Oryctolagus cuniculus: one gene and its partners. The protein of the gene in region 1 interacts with the protein of each later gene in a pairwise test. Links are inferred from orthologs where the notes say so. Each region holds a gene or a part of one and is shown in the gene's direction. Other genes may lie near its edges.

What was found.
Region 2: the proteins of AKAP9 (region 1) and C7H1orf94 interact in binary tests that used the Homo sapiens proteins (3 or more experiments, as listed by UniProt). The two-hybrid records come from large-scale screens. The link is inferred for Oryctolagus cuniculus from reciprocal best matches to the Homo sapiens genes AKAP9 and C1orf94.
Region 3: the proteins of AKAP9 (region 1) and TNIK interact in a two-hybrid assay, tested with the Homo sapiens proteins (2 studies listed by BioGRID and IntAct). The link is inferred for Oryctolagus cuniculus from reciprocal best matches to the Homo sapiens genes AKAP9 and TNIK.
Region 4: the proteins of AKAP9 (region 1) and PKN1 interact in a two-hybrid assay, tested with the Homo sapiens proteins (2 studies listed by BioGRID). The link is inferred for Oryctolagus cuniculus from reciprocal best matches to the Homo sapiens genes AKAP9 and PKN1.

The regions. Positions count from the first base shown.
Region 1 is NC_091447.1:43,775,513-43,779,741, reverse strand, and holds the start of AKAP9 (A-kinase anchor protein 9), read left to right. Parts: upstream 1-1,384; 5' UTR 1,385-1,470; coding exon 1,471-1,518; intron 1,519-4,229. UniProt on the Homo sapiens protein: Scaffolding protein that assembles several protein kinases and phosphatases on the centrosome and Golgi apparatus. Required to maintain the integrity of the Golgi apparatus. Required for microtubule nucleation at the cis-side of the Golgi apparatus.
Region 2 is NC_091438.1:138,451,081-138,455,171, reverse strand, and holds the start of C7H1orf94 (uncharacterized protein C1orf94 homolog), read left to right. Parts: upstream 1-1,218; 5' UTR 1,219-2,021; coding exon 2,022-2,350; intron 2,351-4,091.
Region 3 is NC_091435.1:108,838,420-108,842,725, forward strand, and holds the start of TNIK (TRAF2 and NCK-interacting protein kinase), read left to right. Parts: upstream 1-1,450; 5' UTR 1,451-1,853; coding exon 1,854-1,910; intron 1,911-4,306. UniProt on the Homo sapiens protein: Serine/threonine kinase that acts as an essential activator of the Wnt signaling pathway. Recruited to promoters of Wnt target genes and required to activate their expression. May act by phosphorylating TCF4/TCF7L2.
Region 4 is NC_091447.1:63,099,872-63,103,448, forward strand, and holds part of PKN1 (serine/threonine-protein kinase N1), read left to right. Parts: coding exon 1-113; intron 114-1,849; coding exon 1,850-1,985; intron 1,986-2,489; coding exon 2,490-2,635; intron 2,636-3,018; coding exon 3,019-3,232; intron 3,233-3,577. UniProt on the Homo sapiens protein: PKC-related serine/threonine-protein kinase involved in various processes such as regulation of the intermediate filaments of the actin cytoskeleton, cell migration, tumor cell invasion and transcription regulation.

The DNA.
Region 1 (4,229 bases):
GGCCCTTAGCAGGGAACTGGAACAGAAGAGCAGCAGCTAGGACTGGAACCAGCGCCAGGTGGGGGCTTAACCTGGTATGCCAGAGCACCCCCCTCCCACCTTTTCCTTTTTTAACCCCAAGTTTCACTGAATATCACCAATACGTTGAACTCGCAGCTTGTTTCCACTCCTGACAGTTTCTCAGCCCAACCTCACTCAACAAAGGAGAGGGGAACTCAACATCAGTATTCAACCTAAGACAGGATCATTTGTATTCACTCTAGGAACGGAGGGTTGGCGAATGGGAGGGTGGTGAAGGGGGCAGGAGGAGGATTGCGGGGCCAGGTGAGTGGAAGAAACGGAAGAGTAATGATCAATTTATAGACGTGACCAGTCAACCCAGCAGTATTTATTCGGAGCAAAGCCCTGTGCTAGTCGTTTATTAATGCCACGGTGAGCAGGATCCATGAGGGGGTCCGTGCCTCCAAGGAGCCAGGAATATCAGGTGACCTAAGAAGCACGCAAGCCAACAAAACGCGTGCAGAGGACATCAAGGAAATTCGAGAAAAACGGCAACCGACATTAATTCGGGGCGATTCGGTAGGCCAGGGGCAGTCACAAAGATGACCACCCTTCCCCAATCCCAGGACAGGTAACGTGTGTCGTGTCAGGTGGTGCGCCCGGGCTGGGTCCCCGAGAGCACCGCTGCCAGAGGCCCCAGCGAGGCTGGATGGGAGTGCAGGTTCAGCAGGAGCCCTCCCGGGGGCGGGGGGCGAACAAAGACAGGAGCCGTGTGCGTGCAGGCGGAGGCGTGCGAGGTGGGCCTCGGAGGACCCGGCAGCCTGGGCGGGAACCGGCGTGGGCCAGGGGGCGGGACTGCGAGGCCAGGGAAGTCACCGCCGCAGTCGCCGCTCTCCCGGTTTCTGGCGTGGAGGAGTCCACCTAGGTTGAAAAGCCGGGGTCCGGCAAGTCTCTCCCGCCTGCTGGCCACTGTGGCTGCTCAGAGGTCCTTCATATCTGATGGCTTCGTGATTGGAAAAACCGCTCTGTTTGAAGAGCGCCGAGTCCCGCGCACCGTGGCGGCACTGCTGGCCGGCGGGCGGGCGGCCCTGGACACCGCTCCCGCCTCAGCCCCGCCGCCGCCGGGAGCCGCCGGGAGCCGCCGGGCCGCGGGAGGACGGCGCGGGCGGGGGCGGGGCCGCGGCGCACCTGCCCGGCGCGGCGGCTGCGCGGACCGACGTCCCCCCCCCCCCACGACGCCCGCCGAGTGTTTACGTGGAGACGAAGATGGCGGCGGCGGTGACGGCGCTGGCCGTGCGGCCCGGGACGAGCCGCCAGTGAGCGCGGAGGCTGCTCGCGCTCCGGGCGGGGCCGCGCCGCGCCGGGCCTGCTCGCTGGGCCGCGGAGCTCGCCGCCCCACCTCCGCCTGAACCGACCTTTCCTGTCTCCCCCAAACCCCGCCCGCTGCTCCGCCGCCTTCCCGCAGAGGCCATGGAGGACGAGGAGCGACAGAAGAAGCTGGAGGCCGGCAAAGCGAAGGTAGGAGAGGCGGAGGCAGCCGGGCCCGGGGAGGGAGGCGGCGGCTGGGCAGGGTGGGAGGGGGCCTGGGAGCGGAGCTGGCGGCGGCCGGCGCGCGCTGGCTGGCGGGGAGCGAGGTGCCGCGGCCCCGCGTTTCCCCCTCGCCCCTTGTTCCAGTAGGGGCGAAGCCCGGCGCCCCCTCCTCGCCGCCGATACTTGGGTGCTGAGTGAACGGCGTGGCTGCTTTCTCGTAAATGCCCAGGGCTGCCGTCAGCTGGTGTTTAATTGCTCCCGAATCTCAGCCTTTCACTTTCTTCAGGGGGTGTTCTGGGCGGTGCAGGCGTTGTGCTGCCCAGCGAGGAGATTCAGGGCTTCTCCTTTATTTGGGGGGGATTGGCGCGCGGCCGGCGGCTCGCCCGCCTCTCTGGCACGCTGGCACTCCGGGGCGTGTGTGATTGGCCTGTGACAGCTGCCTCGGCAGTGGCTCGAGTGTGCCACAAGTGCCAGCTGTGAACTTGGCTGCAGGGGCGTTGACAGAAGCGTGCCTTTGTATGTCTGTCTGCGGAGGTCTTTGTCGCGGCACCGAGGCTGTCTGCATGGAACTTCTGGGAACCCAGAGGTTCTGTGTTCCAAGTGACACCTACAGAATTCCTGCTTTGAGTAATGTCGTTGTCCTCTGTGTAGCTCCGGTGAGCCGCTGTTTCGTGTGTGTGCGCGCGCGCACGAAAAAGCCTGTAAAGCAAACAATACAAAATCATACACAGGTGTCATTCCTTGGGCTTCATGAAAAACTTGACACGAGATACATTTGAATAACCTATTTCTTTTAAACATTGCGTGTTAGACGTGTCTTCTGGTTGGCCCCAAAGGACCCCTTCTTCTTTACAACGAAATGACCTTTTGTAGGTTATCTGCTAATCTCTGTAGAGGTAATTGTCAGCAATCATACTTGGACTGCGGTTAAATGGTAGTGTAGTTAACTGTTTCTCCTCTCCGCCTTCCCTCCCCTCCCCCCACATAAACAAAGGAAACCGGGGCCCTGGCTGCAGTCCTCCGGGAAGGGCCACCTGCAGAGGTGCAGCAGGAGAGTGCTCATCCCAGGTGTGTCTGCCTGCGTGTGTAACGTAGCAATGCAGTGGGCTTTGCAGGAAGCTCCCTCCGCCCGAGGTCCAGGCTCACAGGTAGCCAGGTGGACTTTTAGAATCTGTACATGGAGGGAAGGGGAACAGGGCACCTTCCAGAGCCCCCAAATTGCTTACATTACACAAACCCCGTGTGTCCCTTGAGGGAGGTTAGCTGTGTGCTGGCTTCCAGAAGCACTGAAGTTCTAATCTGTCTGGCTTGGGAATTTTTACTGCTTGCCCCCAAAAATGTCTTTCCTAAAAACATGTGAAGCAGTCCCATGAAAGGTGATTTACTTTGGACAGACATATATCATGATAGAGGATTTAATTAAATAGTTGTAAGTAGTTGATTTGGCAAAATGGAGTTCTGTATGCTCTAGCGGTGTGTGTGTGTGTGTGTGTTTCAAAATTCTACCAATGGAGTAATGTTAATAGGTTAACTTGTATTTCAGAAGTTTATCTTCTTCTGGAGTTAAGCCTGCTTTTCCCAGTGAGAAATCTGTGAAACGTATAAGGCAGGATATGTTTGGGGCCACATTAGCTCTGCAATAAAAATACCGAAATAAGTCTTGAGAGATGATATGAAGAGACTGGCTTTCTAAGATGTATAAATGCAATGGAATAGTATGCAGCCATTAACGTTATGAAGACTAACAGCATGGAAGATAGAATGAAAATGGCATCATCAAAAATAGTCTATAAATTATTTCCTCTCTATATAAGCATGTGTTTTAGTTAGGACTGAAAAACATTGGGTTCTTTTTTTTTTTTTTTTTTTTTTTTGACAGGCAGAGTGGACAGTGAGAGAGAGACGGAGAGAAAGGTCTTCCTTTGCCGTTGGTTCACCCTCCAATGGCCGCCACAGCCGGCGTGCTGCGGCCGGCGCACTGCGCCTATCCGAAGGCAGGAGCCAGGTACTTATCCTGGTCTCCCATGGGGTGCAGGGCCCAAGCACTTGGGCCATCCTCCACTGCACTCCCTGGCCACAGCAGAGAACTGGCCTGGAAGAGGGTCAACCGGGACAGAATCCGGTGCCCCGACCGGGACTAGAACCCGGTGTGCCAGCGCCGCAAGGTGGAGGATTAGCCTAGTGAGCCACGGCGCCGGCCCAAAACATTGGGTTCTAAATGTAGTCATTCAGCACAAGCCATCTTGAACTCCCATGTTATGCCAGGGGCTGGAGATATAGAGGTGGTGACAATCTTTTTTCAAGTTAGATCACAGTGTACCCTAGAATGATACCTATCAGTGAATGCTAAATAAATGAAGAGCAGAATGACTAATGAGTTGTTAATGGGTGCAGCTTTACTAGTATGGTTATAGTTTAGTAACAATAGGGGCCAGCGCTGTGGCATAGTGGGTAAAGTCGCTGCCTGCCCTAACGACATCCCATACGGGCACAGGTTTGGGTCCTGGCTGTTTCACTTCCTATCCAGCTCTCTGCTATGGCCTGGGAAGGCAGAAGAAGTTGGCCCAAGTCCTTGAGCTCCTGCACCTTCATGGGAGACGTGGAAGAAGCTCCTGGCTCCTGGCTTCAGATCGGCACAGCTCTGGTAGTTGGCAGCCATCTGGGGAGTGAACCAGCATGTGGAAGACCTCCCCCCCCCC
Region 2 (4,091 bases), on another chromosome or scaffold:
AGAGGTGTTAGCCAACCAAATGCCAAGCAGCACAAACACTGAGTGACATTTTCGGAAGTATTAATATTTCATCACAAATGATCACTTTCCCTTTAAATACACTATCTTAAAAGGTTTTCTACATTCTTAACTATAATTTTATTCAGTCTGGGTCCTTGGAATTTTCCCCAAAGGAACACATCTTCAATTTTATAATGAAAATCAAAAGGGAATGAAGCTCAGATTTCAAAATTTAGAGTCAACATTTCCAGGAACTTCTGTAAAGAGCAAGGTTGTATATTTGGCACCTACTGTATGCCAGGCACTTTACATACAGTACATCATTAATTCATCCAACACCTTTATTGAGTGCTTACTGTGTGCCAGGAATGTTTTACAGAAAAGATTCCCTCTCATCCTTCCACTTCTCAAATGTCACCTCCACGAACAGACCTTCCTGGACCACCTCCTCCTGTTGTTATTTTCCACCTGAGCCCTCGCCCTCTCTGTAATTATCGCTCCTTCACGTGCTCTGGGGGGGGGGGGTTTGCGATCAGCTCCCCCCAGCAGAACTGAGGCCTCCACAGGAGCAGGGACCGTGTCCAGGAGGATCATCCCGACGCTCCCTCTGTGTCCAGCAGCTCCCTTGGCACACAGGAAGGGCTCCATTCCTCCTAGGGGGAGGGAGGGAAGAGGCGGAGAGAAGGAAGGGGTGGTTGAGGTCACACAGCAGTGGCAACCATTACCCGAGTCCCCCTTCTCTAGGCTGCTGTTTTCCTGGCTTCCCTTCCGTCTTCTTCCTCTGCCTCTTGTGCTTCCTTTCCAGGGGAGCCCTCCAGTCACCACCTTGAATTCCTGGGGCCAAAGGTGCCGCGTCAGTCCCAGGTTTAAGAAAGCCGCTCCAGGGAGGGCAGGATTCTATGAATTGGCCAATAGCCTACCTTGACCCTTTCTGTATCTCCCACCCCACCCCCAACCAGGCCTGGGACCTACTGAGCCCAGCGCAGGGTCTGGAGGATCCGTGCTGTGCTGGCCAAAGCCAGGCAGAGATGGGGCAGGCCCGCCAAGGCATGCGAGCCCTGCAGAGCCCGGCAGCCGGGCTGCCGGCTCCGCCTCCTGAGCGGCGACAGCGCCCGGGGTTTGCGGTGCACGCCCACCCCACCCCCACCCGCATCCGCACCCGCACCCGCACCCGCACCTGCATCGCGGAGGGCCTTGGGCGCCAAGCCAGGAGCCCCGCGCACCGAGCCGTTGCGTTTGAACTCCCGGAAAGAACTCCAGCGCTCGACGGCAAGGGTGTGGGAGCCACCGACTCGCACATTGGCCCAGGCGGCCAGCCTGCCCGGCCCTGCCCAGACCACGCCCTTCTCGCGGTTGAGACTCTCCCCTGGGGGTGGCCCCACAACCCAGCACGGGCGCGGCAGGTGTCTTGCTGCGACGCTAGGCCGGCGGGTGCGGCCCCTGACCCTGCTGGCCAGGGGAACCGGAGCGGGCGGAGCGGAGCCTAGGCTGGACGTTAGCCTGGCCTGAGCGGGGCTCCCAGGAACACCCTAGCCCAGAGCCCCGCGGGCTAGCCGCTGCCCGCAGCGCCTTGCGAGGTGCCAGGCCCCTACTCTGTCGTCCACGCAGCTAGGAGGGCGAGAATGGGCTGAGCCGGGCCAGGGCGTCGCGGGGTGTACCAAGGGGTGACTGCCAGGTCTCTGGGGAGAGCCAGCCTCCCCCTCCAGCGGTTCCCAGATGTCATTCTGCCCGCCCAGGCGCCTGGTTGCTGAGCTCCGGGGGATTCCACGGTTACTAAGCTACTGGTTTTTGTTGACTTTTAAATATTTTCTTCTAAGGGATACGGGGAGGGGGACAAAGGTCAGGCGAGAGCAAATAAGAACGAATCGAAACAAGCTCCTCCTCCCCCAAAGAGAGCAGCCCCCAACCCACTGCCCACACGCAAGCCAGAGGCCTCTAAGCCCAGGCCCTTCCCTGGAGCAGCAGCTGGACCGGACTGAGCAGCTTCTGCCAGGCCCCGCCCTCCACCTCCTCACTGGTGAATGAGAGGTGGGGGTGCACGGTCCCCCTGTCTCCGAGCCCTGGGTGGACAAAGGGGCTTCTGGAGAGAGAGGAGGAAGATGGCCAGTGGAAACGGGCTGCCTTCGTCCTTGGCCCTGGTGGCCAAGCGCCCCTCGGCCCTGGGCCCATTCCCCCGATACATCTGGATCCACCAGGACACGCCCCAAGACAGCCTGGATAAGGCTTGCCATGAAATCTGGAAGAGAGTTCAGGGCCTGCCCGAGGACTTGCAGTCCAGAACCTCCACAGAGCAGCTCTCTGCCACCGGGGCAGGAATGCCAAGGGACCACAGGCTCAGCTTCATAGACGAGTGAGTATCCCCTCGCTTGGTGGGCAGCAAGGGCTGTGGCAAGGTCCAGTGCAGTCTGAACTTCTAGGGGACTGTTCGGGCCGTGTTCGGTCTGGTTAAACCCTGCATTCTGCAGACATTCTCTCCACCGTGCGCCCTTCATTGGCAAGCTGGAGAAAGAGCTGACCAAGGTGCTGAAATCACCTGGTTGAAAGGCCAGGCCAGAGCTGCCTTCCAGGCTCCCCTTCATTGGCCCTCCAAGGGGTACATTTCTCATCCTGAAGGTGCAGGCAACCCAGATGTGGCTCTGGGGTCCTTGAAAGCCCCTCCATCACAGCAAAGGCCAAGGGTTAGGTGATTCATGTCCTTCCCCAGAGGCAACTTGAAGAAGCTTCCCCTTCCCATGCAAAGGCCAGGCATTTGCACAGATGAGCCTGGTGGTTTCAAGCCACATCTGGAATTCCCTAATACAGGGAGCAGCTGTCCCATTCAGCCTACACAGAGGCTGCTGCAAGAGCGCATATCAAAATATTTACTGGGAAGGCATTGACATATTCAGAGGACATAATAGAAAATTAAAGTGCGGGAAGATGGCTGTAAATAGCCAGCTTTCTGGATGGGGAATCCTGTGCCTGGGAGACACAGAGCTAAGTGTTTCTCTACCAGGGCAACGTTGGGCAGAGATTGTTGGGCATGGATATTCACGAGGAGCAGGAGAAGCAGACAGGAGGAAGAGACCTCATTAGGGAAAGGAAGTAAATCTGCTGTGGTTATTAATGTCACTGTCAAGCACTTCTTCAATGCTTTGCATCTTCAAAGTGTGCTGCAAACATTAATTAATCCTCCCAGAGTTCCTATGAGGCAGGTATTAGTGTCCCCATTTTACAGATGGATTAAGTGTTAATAATTAAGTGCTAATTAAATACTAAGTGATAATTAAGTGTTGCCTGCTCCAACACATGCTCACGTTCAGTTCAGAGATTGCTCTGAAGTGGGAGAATACTCAGGCATTTATCAGCCGCCTCTGGTTTCAGGGATGTCTAAGCAAGAGCTGAGGACGAAAGCCATAGTCAATGGAGGGATACCCAAGTGTGCACTCTCTGCTGTCGCTTTGCAGGCCTCTCTGCTTGCTGCAGATGAAGGTAGAAGGCACTTTGGCTGTTCCTGCCTCCACTTCCCTATGCTCAGCACAGGATGGCTCAGACAGGAATAGTGTGGCTACAGCCAAAACCTTGCTGTCAGGCCCTTCGGAGGCACAGAGCCCTTTTCCTCTGCCCATTGCCATCTGCTTTGGGACCGGGCCTTGGCAGGGTCCCTTGGGGCCACGGTCAGTCCTCATGGCCAAAGAGCTGATTGTCCACTTTGTGGACCAAGGGTCAGTAGCAATTTCCAGTAGATGGCACCCTCTCTGCCAGGTCACTCTGAGTTAATGGAGACAGACTCTACTTCCAGCCTGCACTTGGCTGCAAATTGAACTGGCACACCTTTGGCCAGTTGCTTAACTCCCTTTGGCCTTGATTTCCTCATCTGCAAATTGAGGATGATTTGCCCTGCCTTGTCCACCTCAGAGCTGATCACGAGAATGGAATGTGATGGTAAGCAGGGAAGTGAAAGATGCATTACACAAATGAGACTACCCTCAAGGTGTCATTCCTGGGGTTCTGGCTCTGTAGTCGCTGTTGGCTTCTGTCTGGGGTTTGCATGCTGTGCTCTGTGCAGCCCAGGATGCCTCAGCAGCCACCCTGGGTAAAGTGGGCTGGTT
Region 3 (4,306 bases), on another chromosome or scaffold:
TGGAACTAGAAGATTTTATTGGAAATGAGAAGTAAAATGTTTGTCATATAGCAGGTTTAAACGTTTGACGTATAACGTTAAAAAGCCAAAGCACCCAAACCGTTGCGATATTGAGTCCATTTGCAGGTTTCAGGGTGTATGATCCACAAGGCACTTCATCAGCACAGTATTATGAACACACACAGTGAAGCGTACACCGACTGTTGTTTCAAAGTCCTCTGATGCATGCAGGCAGGCGAGATGCACTAGCTGCACTGGTTTGCTTTCATTCATTCATTCATTCATTCGCCTTATTCTGAGGCTCATATTCACACTACATGACTTAGAATGGCTCAGCGCACTTGGCCAGAAGCGAATTCCTGCCTTAACAGAGGGGCTAGGAACGCTCGCGACGCCTCTGCTGTACTTAAAGGGGGCGGGGGAAAGCAAGTCAGTTTTCAACGATTTCTTGCGATGCATTTCCCGTGGCTCGGGCCGGAGAGGAAGGCTGCGCGGCGAGGGAGGCGATTTGGCACTCCCGATGACAGAATGTCACGTTCGCCACCGTAAACATCCCACCTCTGAACGAGAAAGTGGGTGCGGTGAACGCGCGCTCGCCAGCCCATCTGGCATCTCATCCGCGGGTCAAACTTTCGCCATCCACTGGGGTGGATCCCCGCGGAAACGCGGCCGGGAAGAGAAACGCCGTGGCCGCGGGCGGCGAGCTTGGCTTAAGCAGCATTGGCTTTGGAGTTACCTGATGGCTTGGAAGCTATTGCGCCCGGAGAACGAGCTTCTACGTTCCGATTCGTGGGGAACTGCGGCACGAGCTGGTCCTGGGTGTGGCGATCCGAAAGGGAGCTCTGATTCCCTAGCTTTCCCGCAGAGGGACCGGCAACTTGGGACCGGCGCAGTCCGGCATATCGGTTACTGCGGGTGGACCCGACCCCCGGGCCGCTGCAGATTACAGAAGCGCCAGGCCGGACGCGCCGTGCGTGCGCGCTTCTCCCGGGCTCGTTCCACGCCTGGAGGCGGATCCCCTTCCCTGCACACAAGTCCTTATATGCACCGGTTGCACCAGCCCGCCTTACTCGAGCCCCACAAATAATTAATGGGGGAGGGAGGGCGTCGCTGTCTTTTTCTTTTCCCCTTTCTGCGCCCCCCCAGCTCTAGAGCATTTGAATCCCACCGAGAAAACCCAAGAGGCGAGGAAAGAGCCATTTTGCTGCAATGCCCGAGTTGGACACACAAAAAAAGAGCTTGAGCCCCCGCGATAAGCCCGGCAAGGGTCAGGGACTGCCCCGCCGATCCGCCCCGATTAGCCCGCAGGAGCCTGGGCGGGAGGGTGCGCGCCCCTCCCCCATCCACGCTGGTGTCGAGGGACCGGGTCAGGAAGCGCGGCCTCTCCCCAGTCGGAGACCACGCCTCCTCCGCCTCCCCCCTTTACTCCTCCCAGGAAGCGGTGATAGACAGTTCTGTGTGGTTCTCCACCCCCACCCCCCAGCTGAGTGGAGGAGTTGATGTGTCTCATTATAACAGCCAATGCAGCCGCCATCCACGCACAAGCAAAGAAGCATGTCCCATTTAAATACACCCACGCAGCTCCAGCGCCCTTAGCCGATCGGGGCGCGCAGCCCACACGCACCGCGGCTCCGGGCTTGGAGATCCGCGCAGGTTGGGCTCCCGGACCCGGCGGACCGGCGCACGGAGGCTTGAGATCGGGCGCTGAGGGGCCGGGGTGGGCGGGGGAGGCTGGGCCCGGGGCCTCTGGCTCGACACCCGCAGGAGGACGCGAGTGAAACAGACCAAGGTGGAATTTCCAAGGGAGAAGCTTTGGGGTGGCTTTGGTCCATTTCTCGGGCGAAGAAGTAGACATGGCGAGCGACTCCCCGGCTCGCAGCCTGGATGAAATCGATCTCTCGGCTCTGAGGGTGAGCAGAACGCGTTTTTCGCATTTCTTCCCAGGGGTTTGGGTCCGGGGGGCGGGGTTGGGGTGGGTGGGTGGGGGAGAATGGGGTCGGTGTGTGGTCTGGGGGCTGACGGGCAGCTGCGGGAGAATGCGACGGGGACCGACCCCGGATTCGCGCTTGGATTCGGGGTTGCCGAGGCGCTCCGGGCTGAGCCTCTATGGCAAGGGTTGTGCGGAACGTGTCCCCCCCGTTGGCTGTGGCCGACGATCCCCCGAAACTGCTTGTGGAGCTTATGGCAGTTTCATCTTAGAGCAGTGTAAGAGCATTAGAACGCGAGCCTCTGTGTGTGTGTGTGTGCGCGCGTGTGTGCGTGTGTGAGCGCGCGCGCGCGTGTGTGCACGCTCCGGGCGGTCGTCTCGTGCCAGGGCGCGGGACCCGACTGTCCCTTGCTGCAGAAACTAGAGCAGCGCGCATACAGGCGCTGGCCCCTCACGTTCGCCAGCTACCTGCGAGATGACACCGTGAGCCTGGCCGGCCCGGCGAGGCCGAGCCTGCTGCTCCACGGGGGCAGTTATTGCTATGCGGGTCTCATAGATGGCAGCGGCCGCCCCTTCCCCCCGCCCCCGCCTGGCGCGCCCGGGCTCCGGCTCCGCGCCTCCTTCCACGCCAGCCTGCCACTCACCTTTATTTATGGCTTTAACCCAGCCCTGCCTGTGCTTTCCGACTTTGTGGCTGTGGCATGTCAGCTTTATGGCTGAACTTGGGCAGGTGAAAGGGATGGGTTTGCCGCTGTTCGCAGTCGGACCGGAACTCCCTGGAGTGTGTGTGTTTTCCCCGCGTCTGCGGCCGGTCCTTTGTGGAGCACCTCCCTCCCGCAGCCCGCGGCTTGGCGTTGAACCTCCGCGTGCATTACCTCAGACGCCGTGGCATGCTGTCGACTGAGATATCGGCGATATAGAATCCATTTTGCTGTTGTTTGGAGACCACAGTTCCAGGGCAGCCTCGACGCCTCCCCCTCCCCAACCCCCAATCTCAGCATACTCCTGGGGGGGAGGGGAGGGGAGCAGAGCTTTCTTCTTGCCATTTTAATTAGATGCTGCGGGCCAGGGAGGGGTGAGGGGTGGGTGGGAAGCTGCTGGCAATCGAGGGGGCCTGAGAAGGATTGGACGCCCATTTAAGGTCCGTTTGTTCGTCTTGCGAACCAAAAATACAATTGGAGAAGAATAGCAAGTGCACGTACTTGCGTGGCCAGATAGGGTCAGGCGTGCAAGTTCACACGCCCTCCTGAGGAACACATTGTTAGGTGGATGCTACATCTCCGGCCAGGTACCTGAATCCCTAGTACGTCGGACATGGCCTCTTCCAACACGGGTATTTTTGAGTTCCCTCTGTGATCAAAGTGGCACTTTGGTCTCCTTGTCCCTCCCTTTCCCTACCTCTTCCCCTCCCCCCTCCTGTCCCCCGAGTCCCTGAGGTGAGGTTTCAGGGGGATGCTCTTGGAAACAGGCTGTAGCGGTAGTTAGGCAGCCACAGCTCGGGCATGCATTAGTGCACTCAGCTGCCTCTCTGGAGCTGAGAAGCCACAGGCAGGGCTTTCTGCCCCTTGGGCTGTGGGGGTGGGGACCGGGAACCGGGTGGGTGCTTGGACCCGGGCTGTGGCTTCCTGCTTTGCGGACTGTGTGTTCTGTTCCTTTGCCCTACTTTCTGCACTGGGAGTTGCTGCCAGCGAGTTAATCAGGTGGATGAATGAGGAGACCCTGGGAGGGGCCCGCCGCAAAGGAGAAAGGCATCTGAACAATGGGCCAGGCTGGGGAGCCCAAATCTTGACATTGCTCTCCTAATGGAAAATGCTCTGCTGGGATTTGAAGTTGGGTTCGGATTTGTTTCCTAGTGAAGGTTTTCTGAGATCCTGAGCCCTCCAGCTCGGAGCCTGCGGGCGTGGGAGCCACTATGAGGGCTCCCCCCGGGGGCTGATTCGCAGGGCCCCTCATACTCTGGGGAGACCCGTGCAGGTGCAATTTGGCTTCGAAAAGGAGAATTTTGCATGATTTACTGAAATTGCTCTTTGTGGCCTGGACAGCCAGCTTAGTGCTCTCTGCTTCTGTTTTTCTGCCTGCCGGAGGTATGGAAAGAGGGAGGGGAGCAGCTCCGGCTAGTGACTGGGGAGCTGCTGGCCACAGGAAGTGAATGCACAGGTGGAGACAGCTGCATCCCCAGAGGATGGGGGTCTTTGGCCAGCCTTGGGGTGGCTGAGGGGTGCGGGCCAGACTGGGTCCAGAGGCTGCAGAGGTCATCGCCACAAATCAGAGTGCAGATCAGCTCTGCCTTCCCAAATTGAGAGAGGTGGGCTCATGGACAGAAGTCTCACTTGCTCCTCTGCTCTTAGGAAAGCCTGCCTGCTGAGCGCTCCCTGGGGA
Region 4 (3,577 bases), about 19 Mb from region 1:
CCACCACCAACCTGAGCCGCGTGGCGGTGCTGGAGAAGCAGCTGGCCATCGAGCTGAAAGTGAAGCAAGGGGCGGAAAACATGATCCAAACGTACAGCAACGGCAGTAGCAAGGTGGGCCGGCGCGCACTCGCCAGCTGCACGCACACGCACGCCTGCGTGAGAGCCCCCGCGTGTGCACCCGCCTGGATGCACCCGCCTGCATGCCACACCCCCAGGAGCAAGTCCCAAGCTGGGGCGGTGGGGACGGGGCGCCCTCTAGTGGTGCCTGCGGGTCGGGCTTGCAGGGGATCCTGCTGATGTGTGGCGGCAGGGCTGGGCACAGGCAGCTCCCCGGAGCAGCAGAGGCCGTGGCCCCCTCCCCTGTCACTGGGGTACGCCACGGGCTGTGCGCGGCAACACGCAGCCCCCACGGCGGGCACTGCCTCCTGCCCCCCAAGGACACCTGGAGACCCTTGCCCGGCCTGACACCCACCCGCACCGCCATAAATGTTTGTCATGTCTATTTCTTGGGGACCTCTGAACTTCTCTCTTCTAGTTCTTTCTTTTTTATTTTTTTAAGATTTCTTTATTTATTTGAAAGAGTCACACACAGACAGAAGTAGAGGCAGAGAGAGAGAGAGAGAGAGGTGAGAGAGGTCTTCCAACCGCTGGTTCACTCTCCAAATGGCTGCAATGGCCGGAGCGAAGCCAGGAGCCAGGAGCTTCCTCCCGGTCTCCCACGCAAGTGCAGGGGCCCAAGGACTTGGGCCATCTCTCACTGCTTTCCCAAGCCACAGCAGAGAGCTGGATTGGAAGTGGAGCAGCCAGGACTTGAACCGGCATCCATATGGGATGCTGATGCTGTAGACCGGGGCTTTAAACCCCTATGCCACAGCGCTGGCCTTGAATTTTTTTCTTATGGTAGTAAAATACCCATAACATAAAATCTACCATTTTTAGCCATTTTAAAATATATAATTCAGGGACCTGTACAGTGGGACAGCGGGTTAAACCCCTGCCTGCAGTGCCGGAGTCCAGTGCTGGTTCAAGTCCCGGCTGCTCTGCTTCTGATCCAGCTCCTTGCTGAGAGCAAGCAGGTGACGACCTGAGGATTTGGGTCCCAGGACCCTCGTGGGAGGCCTGGATGGAGCTTCAGGCTCCTGGCTTTGGCCTGGAGTAGCTGTGGCCATTGTGGCCATTTAGGGGGTGAACCAGTGCATGGAAGATTCTCTCTCTCTCTCTCTCTCTCTCTCTCTGTCTGTCTCTCTGTCTCTCTGCCTTTCAAATAACTAGATACATTTTACTATTATATAACCCAGTGGTGTTAGATCCATTCGCAGTATTGTAGAACCATTACCTGTGAATAGTTCTAGAACATTCTGCCCCCACCCCCGCTTGGGAGAAGCCCTGCCCCCTCATCCATCACTCCAGGCGCTCCTTTCCCAGCCCCAGGCCACCACCAGTGCCCATTCTGCACATTTCCCGTGGACACCACGTGGGGGCGTTTCGGGGCGCGGCTGTGGGGGCCCCCCCACGTGCACTGTCCCGGAGTTACTGCAAACGCAGACCCTCCCGGTGCCAGCCCTGGTTCTGAGCAAATAGGTCCTGGCTCCCAGCGAGGGTGGAAGGTCCCGTCCGCAGTCGCACAGCTCTTAAAGTGGCAGAGCCACGACCCAGATCCCTCGAAACCCCTTGGCTTCACTGCGCGTGCCCTGTGCCGCCCCTGCTGGGAACGCGCGCGGACGTGGGTGCTGTCTTGCCCTCATGGCCCTCTAGGGCGCTGCATCTTACACTAGGTACACCCTGCTCAGAGCACCCAGCCCTGCCCCCCACCCCAGCTACCCAGCTACCTCCTCTCCTGTCTCCAGGACCGGAAGCTGCTGCTGACGGCCCAGCAGGTGCTACAAGACAGCAAGACCAAGATTGACATCATTCGTATGCAGCTCCACCGAGCCCTACAGGCGGACCAGCTGGGGAGCCAGGCGGCCGCGGATGAGGCCCACGGTGAGCGCCTCGCCGGCAGCCCACTCGAGAACCTGTACCGGGAGCTCCATCCGGGTCTCCCATGCGGGTGTAGGGGCCCAAGCACTTGGGCTGTCTTGCACTGCTTTCCCAGGCCATAGCAGGGAGCTGGATGGGAAGTGGAGCAGCCGGGACTCGAACTGGCGCCCATATGGGATGCTGGCCTTGCAGGCAGCGGCTTTACCCGCTGTGCCACAGCTGATTTTCAAGCTGCTCATTTTGCATGGTCCAGCAAACGATGTTGTAAATACCTCATACGGCCACCAGGGGGCGGAAAAAGGCTCCCCAGGCCTGCAAGCTGTCATCAGCATGGCTCCTGTGTGAAGCCATGAGGGCTTTGTAGACCGCCCCACCGGGAACCGGGCTCCCGCGTGTGGACTGGGGCAGGGTCTGACAGTGCGGTCAGGGGTGTCCCTGGCTGTGGGGTGACTGCCTGGTGGTGATAGCTCAGTGTGGGCCCCTCCCCGCCCCATTTCCCTTCTGCAGGGGGTCCGGACCTGGGGGCCGCGGAGCTGCGCATCGAGGAACTGCGCCACCACTTCCGCGTGGAGCACGCGGTGGCCGAGGGCGCCAAGAACGTGCTGCGCCTGCTCAGTGCAGCCAAGACGCCCGACCGCAAGGCCGTCAGCGAGGTGAGGGGCGGGGCTGCGGCGTGGGGCAGGGCCTCGGCTGAAGAGGGCCAATGGGAACCGTGAGGCTGGGGAAACGGGCGGGGCCCAGAGGCGGAGCCTCTGCATTGATAGGCACCAGAGGGGCGGGCTTCAGTAAGGGGCGGGGCCTCAGGCAGGAAGGGAGCCCAATAGGTCAGTCCCTCATCAAGGGGTGGAGCTTCAGTGGGGGTGGGTGGGGCTTAGTCCCGAGTCGACCTCCGCACTGGAAGCGAGGAGGCTAGAGGAGGGGGGCGTAACCAAGGGGCGGGGCCCAAGTGGCTGTTTAGGCCAATAGGGAGAAGGAAGTCCAGAAGGGGGCGGGGCAAGCCTGGCTCCACCCCAGCCTCTTCCTTCCCACCACTCAGGCCCAGGAAAAGCTGACGGAGTCCAATCAGAAGCTGGGGCTGCTGCGGGAGGCCCTGGAGCGGAGGCTGGCGGAGCTGCCCGCTGACCACCCCAAGGGGCGGCTGGTGCGGGAGGAGCTTGCCGCGGCCTCGTCCGCCGCCTTCAGCGCGCTCCTGGCCGGACCTTTCCCCGCCACGCACTACAGTACCCTGTGCAAGCCCGCGCCGCTCACAGGTGCGCCCCGCAGCCCCCGCGCCCCCACCCGCCTGACTTACCCTGTTCCCAGGTGGCCCCCAACCGCGCTTCCCCTAGTCCCCCAGGCCAGCCTCTCCTCTGACTCCCCACACCCCCTTCCACCTCTGATCTCACGTCAGCCCCCGCCCCCACCCCGAGTGGGACCCTGCACTCCCCCGTCCTAACCTGTCGGAGCTCACCGGGGCCTGGGCCTTGCACCTCGTTTCTGTGGTCCATCCCAGCCTGGCCCCTGATCCCCAGCACATGTCCCATATCTTACATCCGGGCACTGCCATCCCTGGCTTAAGCCCTGCACGCCATCTGCTCGCCCTGGCACGCTGGTAA